Oryzias latipes: one gene and its partners. The protein of the gene in region 1 interacts with the protein of each later gene in a biochemical or structural test. Links are inferred from orthologs where the notes say so. Each region holds a gene or a part of one and is shown on either strand. Other genes may lie near its edges. The genes, in order: dmd, dtna and snta1.

What was found.
Region 2: the proteins of dmd (region 1) and dtna form a complex in vitro, tested with the Homo sapiens proteins (3 studies listed by BioGRID and IntAct, with this or other methods). The link is inferred for Oryzias latipes from reciprocal best matches to the Homo sapiens genes DMD and DTNA.
Region 3: the proteins of dmd (region 1) and snta1 form a complex in vitro, tested with the Homo sapiens proteins (2 studies listed by BioGRID, with this or other methods). The link is inferred for Oryzias latipes from reciprocal best matches to the Homo sapiens genes DMD and SNTA1.

What each region holds. Positions count from the first base shown.
Region 1 is NC_019860.2:186,723-190,374, forward strand, and holds part of dmd (dystrophin), read left to right. Parts: intron 1-160; coding exon 161-322; intron 323-582; coding exon 583-684; intron 685-766; coding exon 767-940; intron 941-1,015; coding exon 1,016-1,171; intron 1,172-1,233; coding exon 1,234-1,404; intron 1,405-1,475; coding exon 1,476-1,655; intron 1,656-2,335; coding exon 2,336-2,458; intron 2,459-2,531; coding exon 2,532-2,702; intron 2,703-2,775; coding exon 2,776-2,898; intron 2,899-2,969; coding exon 2,970-3,104; intron 3,105-3,394; coding exon 3,395-3,547; intron 3,548-3,652. UniProt on the Homo sapiens protein: Anchors the extracellular matrix to the cytoskeleton via F-actin. Ligand for dystroglycan.
Region 2 is NC_019875.2:27,156,365-27,160,016, reverse strand, and holds part of dtna (dystrobrevin alpha), read right to left. Parts: intron 3,600-3,652; coding exon 3,515-3,599; intron 3,259-3,514; coding exon 3,164-3,258; intron 1,759-3,163; coding exon 1,645-1,758; intron 1,486-1,644; coding exon 1,389-1,485; intron 1-1,388. UniProt on the Homo sapiens protein: May be involved in the formation and stability of synapses as well as being involved in the clustering of nicotinic acetylcholine receptors.
Region 3 is NC_019863.2:11,943,456-11,947,107, reverse strand, and holds part of snta1 (alpha-1-syntrophin), read left to right. Parts: intron 1-2,571; coding exon 2,572-2,767; intron 2,768-3,027; coding exon 3,028-3,217; intron 3,218-3,652. UniProt on the Homo sapiens protein: Adapter protein that binds to and probably organizes the subcellular localization of a variety of membrane proteins. May link various receptors to the actin cytoskeleton and the extracellular matrix via the dystrophin glycoprotein complex.

The DNA of each region.
Region 1 (3,652 bases):
TCAGTCTGCAGTTTTTGTGGATCTGGAAGAGACCATGAGGCAGAAACTGACCGGTCCTGACTGCACGGTACTCTCTGGCTGTCTGTGTGTGTCTGATAACTGTGGTGGCTCTGCAGTGCATTGTGGGTACCCTCTGACTCTCTGCTTGCATGTTCCCCAGGCGGGGCTTCGGAGGAGCCAGCTGCAGACCGGCCTCCAGCTGGCTCAGGAGAACGACCGGACCCTCCGGCACATCCAGGACTGTCTGGCCAACACGGACCGCCACCTGTCCTCGTACCTCGCCGACCACATAGACGCCCAGCAGATTCCTCAGGAGGCCCAGGTGAGTGAGGATGAAGACGCGTCCTCTTCATCACATGGACGGCTCTGGAGACGACAGAGAAAAAGGAGAAACCTTTGAAGTTGGAGGTGTGGGGAGAACCTGGAGGAGAACTCAGAGAGGTTTCAGGGACCCTGAAGAGTCCAGATCCACAACCATGATGGATGGAAGCTGTGTTTGTGGCTGTTGGTTATAAATGTGTGTTCGTGGAAGTGTGTGTTTTTCTTTATGTTGAACAGTGTGTGTTTGTGTGTCTGTGACAGAAAATCCAGTCCGAGCTGAGCGACCACGAGGCCACTCTGGAGGAGATGAGGAGGAGGAACCAGGACTCCCAGAGGATCATGGGAGATATCCAGCTGACCCAGGTGTGCACAGATGGGTCTAAAAACACCGACGTGCACACTGACACGTGCACGCTCTAACCACGTGGATGAACTGCTCCCACAGAACATGCTGGCAGACGTCTGGACCAAGTTCCGGTTCTTCCAGAAGCCGGCTAACTTTGACACCCGCTTGGCGGAATGCGAGCGGGTGCTGGCTGGGGTCAAGGGTCAGGTGGGGCTTCTGGGCATCCGTAGCGTGGAGCAGGACGTGGTGCAATCCCAGCTGGAGCAGTGCATGGTGGGAAACGGAGTCACCTGCCGGGCTCAGACGGTTCACAGAGCCGCCTGACGTCCGGTGCTTTCCGTCCAACAGAAACTGTACAAGGTGCTGAGCGAGGTGAAGACCGAGGTGGAGACGGTGATCAAGACCGGCCGGCAGATCGTCCAGAAGCAGCAGACGGAGCAGCCCAAAGAGCTGGACGACAGAGTGACGGCCCTCAAGCTGCTCTTCAACCAGCTGGGGGCTCAGGTCAGTGTCCGCACACGTCTCCAGGAGCGCTGAGTCCGCGGTTGACCGCGTCACACCTGCAGGTCACCGAGAGCAAACTGGAGCTGGAGAAGAGCCTCAAGCTGTCCAAGAAGCTGCGCAAGGAACTAACCGCGCTGACCGAGTGGCTGGCCGCCACCGACGCCGAGCTGACCAGGCGCTCCGCCGTGGACGGCATGCCCAGCGATCTGGAGGCAGAGGTGGCCTGGGCGCAGGTACGACTCCCGCAGGGGCGAGCAGCCGGGTCGGTGTCCGCGGAAACTCAGGTCTCTTTGTTTGCTGGCAGTCCGTACACGGGGAGACGGAGAGGCGGCAGCCCCAGCTGCAGGCCGTGGTGGAGCTGGCAGAGGCGCTGAAGGCGGTGCTGCACGACCACGCCGGCCTGGTGGACGACAAAGTCAGCCTGCTGCACTGCAACTGGATCGCGGTGACCTCCAGAGCCGAGGAGTGGCTGAACCTTCTGCTGGTGAGGCGCACGCTGGCGGTGTCGCACACTCACCAACACCGCTGAACGGGCCGGTTCTGGAACGGGCTTTAGCATACGGTGGACTGTCTGCACCCTAGTACCAGGGCAGAACCTGCAGTAGGAGGAGTCTTAGTGTGAAACGGCATAACGGTGTCAATCTGGTGAATCGTTCTGTTATAGCTCTGCTCTGATAAATGAAAGACTTGGTGTCAAAGACTTCCAAACCACAAATATGAATTTCTCCTCCATGATCAATATTCAAACGGTTGGTCATTCCAGGAAACGACACTACCACATCTGAGTCCTGATTGGTCAATAGACTACTGGTTCAACAATGTGTTTCATGTAGCCCAACACCAGAGTAACAAACCGTCAACACAAAGGTTTTGAACACGGAAGGCCGACACAAGAATATGCATGCTGGGACTCAGGTTCACACAGATTTCTGATTCGAGGTGGTCGCTCAAACACGTTTTTGTAGACGTTTCCATGGAGGAGGTCGCTCGGACACGAGTTTCCGTAGACTGTCAGAGCAGGTGGTCGGTTGGACGCGTGTTAACATAGACTTTCTTTTGGAAATGATAACTCAAATGTGCGTTTCTGAGGCCGGTGTGAACGTAGCATCAGTCTCTTTACGCTCTAAGGACAAAGAGTCCAGCCTTCTCGTCTTGTCCTCCCAGGATTACCAACGTCAGATGCAGAAACTGGACGGAGAGATCCAGGAAGTGAACGAGTGGATGGACGGAGCGGAGAGGAAGTTGGAGGACATTGAAAGTCAGGGACCCAACGATGGCGTCCTGAAGGTTTGGTTCCTGCTGAAACACCAAGGTTACCATGGTGACGGCACAGGCAGACAGGTGCACGTTATTGCTGCAGGTTCTGCGCGCAGAGCTGCTGCTGAACACTACCAGGGTGGAGGAGGTGGGGGCCCTGGCCCAGGAGCTCATGTCCACACGGGGAGACAACTGCCAGGCCCAGGTGGGGCCCAGGGTGGAGCAGCTGCAGCACAGGTTCACCGCTGTCTCCCAGCGGATCGCCGCGGCGCCGGTACGTCAGTGTGACCACGTGGGAGGTGGGGGTTTCCACGCCACTCCCATCTCACTCGTGTCTGTGCACGCAGACGGCAGCCTCGGCCCAGGAGCTGCAGCAGTTCCACCACGACGCCCAAGTGTGGCTGCAACTGCTGGGGGAGGAGGCCAACCAGGGCGAAAACCTGAAGGAGGAGGACTTCCAGGAAGACAAGGTCTCACACTCACGCAGCTTCAGGGGGAGGGGTCAAAGTGCACGGGCTAACAGACGTCTCTATGTGCACAGAACTGTGAGGAGGGGGCAGTCAAAGAGCTGCTGCTGAGAGGAGAGAACCTGCAGAGAAGAGCTCCAGATGCAGACAAACGAGAGCAAGTGCGACTGAAGCTCCACCTGCTGGACAGCAAGTACAACGCCGTCAAGGTGGAGTGACCAGCAGCTGATCTGAGGCCGCTTCAGGACCGCAGTAGCTTTATAGGATGAGTGCATAGAAGTCCATTATCAGACGTGAACGGCCTTTAGAGAGGCAGCGTTGTCATGGTAACGGCTTGTGAGCCTGCAGCTGGTGCATGAGGACTAACCGTGTCTGCAGTCACTCTATGCCTCCAGAACCGTGTTCCTTGTTCAGTGACGGAGCGTTTGCAGAACCCCACGTTCTCCAGATGTTCCTCTGTGGTCGTCCTCCCATCACCGCCGTGTCGTCTGCATTCCAGGACCTGCGCATCCTGAGGAACAAGAAGGCCCTGGCCATCGCCCCACAGTGGTACCAGTACAGGAGGACGTCACATGACCTGCTGGCTTGGTTGGAGGAGATCCAGCGCACAGTGGACCAGCTGCCTGACCCCCCCGAGGGGGGGCGCGTCAAGGTGAAACATTGAAGTCTTTCCTGCTTCGGTTTTGTTCTTCATGATGCTTTTATGTGCCATCCGTCTGGAACTGGTTGGTTCCTCTACTTTTCCTGTTTCACAGCA
Region 2 (3,652 bases), on another chromosome or scaffold:
TTGTTTTTCTGAGTATTTCTTTGTTCAAATTGTTGTGAATTAGGAGCAGATGACAAAAATTCGGTTTGAAAAAGCTTATAGCTGTAATGTCAAAGCTACAACTGGCAGAACACAAGGTCCCTGCTCCATTCTGATCCGTTTACATCTTTGTTTTCCTCGTTCGAGCTTACATTTGGCTCCAAACTGTATGACTGGATTGCTCGCCATTTTTGTTGCACCGCTAATGTTAGGTTGGGGTTGTGAGGGGCAGTAAGCTAGCAGGAGAGGGTGTAAACAGATGGGTGACTGGAAGTGGGGGCAGGCTTGCTCTGCGCCAGTAGTCCACTACTCTGAGCCCAATCCGAGGTCAGGAACTTTGGCTTAAAAAACGACACAGGTTTTTGAATTTTGGCTAAAAAACGTATAATCATAATTAAAGGACCACTGGGAACACTTTACAAATAGATCAAAAGATGGTCAGACTGTAACTTAAAAGCGAGCCTATAATGGAAAATTACCCACGAGTTTTCACTGACTTTGAAAAGGCTCAAGATGAGTACAAAAACAAAGATTATAAAGGTCCTTAGTCAAAAAATTTAGTGAAGACTGAACAAGATTTGCTTTTTTGGATGCTCTAAATAATCCTGTACATTCTTTAGGCTTTAGACTAGCAGGTTATATCTGATTTCTGTTGAACTACAACAAATGTGTGCGCTCATTTGTGGCCTGCAGTGTGCAACATACAGCCGTAGATTTCTACTTTTGTTTTCACTGTGCTTTGCGATTTTATTCACTTTTTATAAAAATTGCTGATAGTGTTTAGTTACACATCAGTGATCGTATCTGTTGAAAAAAATGAGACAACAAGGCTTAGAATTCAGCCTCTGAACTTTCTAGACATAGCAGCTGAATGGAAAATTGATGATGTAAGATATTTGGCTTTAACAGCAACAAACAACTGGAAAATAACCGGTATTTCATCATAACGAAATGGCTGCAGCATGCCACTGTTCTTTTTATTGTTCGTCAAACTAAATATGCAAATTGTGTCTAAAAAGACGTGTGCAGTCTGACGTGAAACTTGCATAATTACTGTAGCTGCCATGCTGCAAAGTGCAATGTTTGGTGTGTTGCAGCTGGAAAGATTGCCCACAGCTGGGTGAGACATGGAAAATTCATCATCTGGCCATATTGCTTGTCATCTGCATATAACGATCAAGAAACGCACAAACTACAGAGTCCATGCTCGCCGCTGCAAGCTTCAAACCCAGAAGTGACTGATAACAACGTAAAAATAAGAGGAGGCAAACATGGAGGTCCTCTTTAAGAAATCCCAAAAAGATGCAAACTGTGCCAAAGTGGAGCAGCGTGTTCTGCTCCCATATAGATGAAAGACACGTTTGCAGTACCTTGAGAAGCATCATTAGCTGCTCCAGCTGTACCATGAGTTCCCTGCGACTCTCCTGCAGAGTAGACATTCTTTGTTCAAGCTCATCTTTGCGTTGCCTAACGGAGGAAACAAGTGGTAATAAAAACATAACATCATGTAAGTGGCAACAGAGAAAAATAGCATCCCGAAGCCGCCCATCTGGATGATGTTTTTTTCAGCAGCCGCAGCAGAACTGTCCGTCATTCCTATACTCATTGAATCAAGGACAGAATTACCTGAGAAGTCGAAGCTCGGCGAGCAAGGTGGGGTTTTGCTGACCCTTATCGGGAGGCGGCTGGGATGCCTCCTCGTGCTGAATGCGCAGTCGCTGAATTTCCTGCAGGATTTCTCTGTAATCAGAATATTTCCACAAAAAAAAAGGCAATTTAACATTAGATGATTCAACACAACCATAAGAACCTTTTCAACCTGTTCCAACATCCAATAAAAACTAGTATTTTACTCTTTGATCAACACCAGCAGGCAGCAGAAACATCCCAGTGAACCAAATTCAATTACTGTGATGATACTACAAAAATCCCTACATTATCTATCAACTTTATTACATACTTATCAGCTGTTCATAAGCTTGGTCCCATTATTTATGGTCCAAATGGTTCAGCCATGAATATAGTGTTAGGCTGCCCAAAACACCAAATAAATAGGTGAGACAGCAGATAGATATTTATGTTTACAAAAAGCTTCCCTGGTAACATTTTATTTTTGTTTAAAATGTTTTGTCAAAGGTGAAATGAGCTGATTATTTTACTTTGATGTGTAACTACTTCATATTCCTATTTAAATTTAGTATTTAAAACGCTGTTACTTAATTTTAAAGACATTTACAGAGGCCTCCACCTTCTAAATTAAGTTATAAATAAATTCAAGAGCTAATGTTTATGACTGATTTTTATAAATATAGTAAAATTGACTAAATCCACTTCAGAAAATGTAATTATCGTTCTAAAATTGCAGAATAATGTTGGATTTTAAGCATAAACTGAGATAAACCAAAGCAACATGGATGTTAATGTCTTAGAATGAAATGAACTGAACATTATTTTTCTCACAGGGAGAAATTCACTCATCATGGCAGCTCAAAGGGAAAAAAAAACAACTGAAAGTAACGTTACAGCTCACTAGATATCGGATCAAACAAACAAATACGTAAATAGATACATAGATAATTGTGCATACTAATAATAATAATAATAATAATATTAATTGGGTCTTCATGCACCAGATTGTGACCAGGGCATCCAATTTCTTTTACTGCTGAAGTTAACTTGGAAACTTTCAATCTTACGTTATTTAAAGTGATAAATATAATTTCTTTCTTTCTAAATCTTCGTTTTTATTTGTCATGCATTCTTGATTCTGATCTCTTGTTCCAAATGAATGTGTAATAGATAAGGATAAAAATAAATATTTCAATTGGATCACTTCTGTAGAGACAGACATATAACAACCAGTCAAACACAATATATGGAACGGTAGGAATTGGGGCTTGATCGGTAAATTTTTGATCTTGATTGTTAGTAATGATCCACAGTCCTTGTGGTAAATGTCTGAAATGATGGAGATCGATTTCTGGTTGACAGATGATCAAAAATAGAAATATCAGTTTCAGGCTTTGACTTAAACAGTAATACAACAGTTTCCTCATGCTGACTGGCATATCTATAAGATTCCCTAAATGTAAATATGAACAGAAAGAACAGAGGCGTGCGTCTCAGAGAGGCGGTCATCCCTAACCTGTTCTTGCTCTCCAGCTCAGCGATGAGCTGCTTTTGCTGTTTGTTGGCATCCAGAGAGCAGGGCAGGTCCATGGGGACCCTCTGCTGTTGAGCCTGTTGGTGAAGTCGAGCGAGACACATCAGATGAACGGCTTTTTAATTTAAGGTGATGTCATCCACAAGCTTTTTTTTTCTTTTTTTTTCTCAAACAGCACACAGGAGGCACTAAAGCAGAGCTGCCATGCAGGTCTGCAGAAAACTGAACACCACTTTGACAGCTTAAGAGTTTGAACAGCAGCAAATGTTCCTTTTCTCATTAGATGCTCTGATACATGGAAGTAATAAATATCTTGTATGCTAGATATCTTACTGCAGCATCAGAAGCCAGTCTAGCAGCATAGCGGGCGATGAGACTGTGCTCCTCATCTTGATGGTTACTGCTGTCCATTAAACTGCTTAAAAGAAGAGAAAAGAAAAACACAAGAAGTAAAAAAAAACAACATTTAAG
Region 3 (3,652 bases), on another chromosome or scaffold:
AAACTGAGGAGGTTTTTGGGTTTGGGATCGTTTATAAAACCATATTTGCAGTACAAGTATTCTCCATTATACTAAATGTTGATCATTTACTTCATACTTTTTCTGTTGCTTTCGCTTAACCCTTTTTTCCGAAACTCATGATCTATGCTTAAAGTTGAAAGGAAATGTCTTTCCTTAGATTAAAGACATATTTTGTTTTCAGTGGAATCCTCTTGAAGGAAAGGCTGGAGACAGCCAGCGACGGCATCTGTCAGACTTTATTCATCAGCTTCAACATGTCTCTTTCTGATCATGGTCAGGTTTGCTGTAGTGGCTTTCATCAGGTGTCTTTTAGCATTCTTGTCAACATTGTTTTTGAAACCCGGAATCTTCTTGTACAAAAAAAGCTACTTCAGAGCAGACAAAAACCCAAAAGCCTCATGAATAAAAACCAGTTTCAGTGCTTTCTCTGTCACATTGATTAGATGGTGAGTTGGTACCAAAATAACCTTCACCTCTATAACTGGTGCACCTTTTGTGTTTAGATTCAGTGAAATGATCCATCAAACCAGTTGTGTTCATGATGTTTTTGACAAAAGAGACTATTTTGGGAATAATTCAAGCCTTCTTAATGCCGTCTTGTGCTTTGACTCCTCTGCTCGCCCTCTAGCAACTTTGCTTTTGTGGTGCGCAAGAAGGCCAATTGCCTCTTCCCCAGTGAAACCAGAGCTTTGCCTCCAGCCTCCTGCCTTACTGTGTCCTTTGGGCTATTTTTACTCTGGCAGAGGCTACTCCTGCTAAACCAATACCAAAGCCTCCTGAACCGCAGCAGAAGTCGTGTGTGGTGGTGGTGGTGGTGTGTAGGCGTATGTGCAGGGGTGTGAGGCAAATGTCATTTCAAAAAAACTGTTCTTCACAGAATCATGTCTCAATAATACATGAAAAGTCTTTGGGTTATATAATTGATGATAAAAATCAGTGATTTTTAAAAGGAGAAATTAGTAAACCTGGTGTCAGCGTTTCTTCCGATAGTTTCATAACAATTTACCTTTTTATTTTTGCAACATTTTAAACTGTGACAAAAGATATTAACCCATAGTACCATCAGCTCTTTATCGAAGTATAGTTTTCATTCAAAATATGACCTGAGGGTTTCAAAAAAGTCTTTAGCTTTGACGTTTTTAGTTTAAAACAAACATCTATTTTTATTTTGTCTCCACACTTTTTTGATTTTTGTTCTAAAACATAAAACCAATTTAATGTCCATTTTTTGTGTTTATTGCAGGTAAAAAATGACAAACTTACTACTCAGAATTGAAGTTTTCTGTGTAATTTCAGGTTTATTGTGGAACGATTGTATGATATAACGAAAAATATATATGTGAAAGAAAAAAAGAGCAAGGGTTAAAATATAGATATGAAGCACTGCCACACAAAATGTTCAAAAAGGCTCTGGAATGCGGAAGCTATGTTCACACCGCCCTTAAGCACCAATTCCATTGAGAAGTCTCTGTAAATGCACATTTCTGGCTTTCACATTCAAAACTCTTGCGTTTACACATTGAGAGCAAGACTTTTGACGAGCATTTTCGGGCTCATGTGCGGCCAATAAACCAGGTCCAACTTAGACTGAGACTTAGATTTGTGCCAACCGTTTGTGCCCAGCCAGAACTTTCATTTATCGGAATAGAGCTGTGAAAGAAATAACCTGGAGCAAGATTCACGAGATTTGCACCGCATTTACATTTCGCACCAAGCCTCTTCTAAGTGTAATTGACGCACATGCACTAGTAAAGAGTAGCAAAAGAAAAGGAAGAAGAAGCCCCTCCCTCTATTAACCCCTCCCAGTGTGAACACCATGAACCAAATCCGCATTTTGCAAATTTCTTGAACGCGAATCACAGGGTGACCGTAAATTTTCCGCATTACACATGAAATGTTGGTTTTTCGTGATACATGCAGGAAATACATAATTCTCAAGTGTTTTTTGCGTTTGCCATCGGTCGATATGCGCAAATGTCTGTCGAGGCTTTCGGCCAACGGGTCTTAACGGGTTTTAACGGGATTCATTTGTGATACATCTGTGAAAAATTCATGTAAAGAACCTCAACGTTTCTCTCTTTTTCCACGTATATTCACGTATTACCAATTTTCTTCTGTGCAACATACGCAAAATGTACCTAGTGGGTGTGGGACACGGCCTTCATGAGTTAATGACAATTTTTGTTTGTGTTGCCGATTCATTCAGTTTCCCCTATTTCTAAAAAAGGTTGCTTCACGAAGGAAGAATGTCTAAAAGTGTGGATCATATAGTCCAGCTGTGCTTGGGCACCTATCCCAGAATTATATCCTCATCTGTGCCTCCAGCTGGGGCCCAGGACATCCTCACTCCTGCATCTTAAAGGAAGAGCTGGAATCAGGAAAGCTTCCAACAGCAGTTGTCTTTAGGATTCTCAATTAACTATAAGAAACTATTAGACAAAGACTCATCCTCTCAGTGGGACCCCATTTAAATCAAATTATAATCAGCTCTGTCTGTCTTTTGCCTCATCAGCCATTTTTAACCAAACTCCCCTCTCTCCTCTTCTGCAGTGAAGTACATCAAGGAAATGTCTGCTTTTTTTAAAAGCTCTGGATCCCCCGGAGCGTCTCTCCCCTGGGATTCTCCTCCCTCCACTCCTCAGAGGGACCCCGAGCTCTCTCCTGCTGAGGGGAAGGAGCCTCGCAGCGTACCTCTGAAGATGTGCCAGGTGTCACGGAAACAGTGCCCCCCGGACACAGAAGACAGGTGCTACATGTCAAACACTTCCTGCTTTGTCACTTCTGATTCAGTCAAACATTTCTGAGCAAGAAAATCAATGCGGACGTCAATTCCAAGTAATCCGAGACTCTGTGCTTCAAGATGTTTTGGTTTTAGTCACGTTTATGTTACTGAACATTTCTTCCCCCTCAAGTTATACATCATTTTGTCTTTGGTTTCTCCAACTGCCCCACTTCCCCATCTCCTCTGTTCCTCTTTCCCTCTCTTGCTTTCATCTCATTTGTCAGATACTTTGAGGTGACTTCATTCAACAGAAAGAACTCTGTGTTCCTGCGGGCTAAAGACCCAGCCATGGCTCAGTCGTGGTACAACGCCATCCAGGCTGCTGCTGGCAGTCTGTTACCGCAAGTGAAGGAGGAATTAAAGATCATGCAGCCTGGTGTACAAATCAAGCATGTGGGCTGGATGACAGAACAGGTAGGAAATGTGTTTGTGTGGAGGTCACATGTTAACGAGATAAATCAGGATTCCCCTTTTGATTCATTCATTTTGAAGCAGTAGTAAAAAAAAAAAGACAAATAAAGTAGAAAAATTCTGTTTTGACTTTTTAGCCGTGAATGGTCTTATTGTTTTTCAGCAGACTTCTGGCCACTTCCATTTGTTTTTTAAATATAAAGGCCGTTTCCCACAGCCACTATGTACATTTGTGCATGTTGCATGGATGAAAATTGGTCATATGTGAAAATACATGGAAAAAGGGAGAAAAGTTGTAGTCTTTACATGAGATTTTCACCGATGTATCACTAATGAACCACGTTAAAACCACGGAAAAAGTACGAATAAACCACGCACAGAGAATACGTAAATCCACTGAGAACATGAACTGTTCGTGATTATCGCGCTGTTTAAATG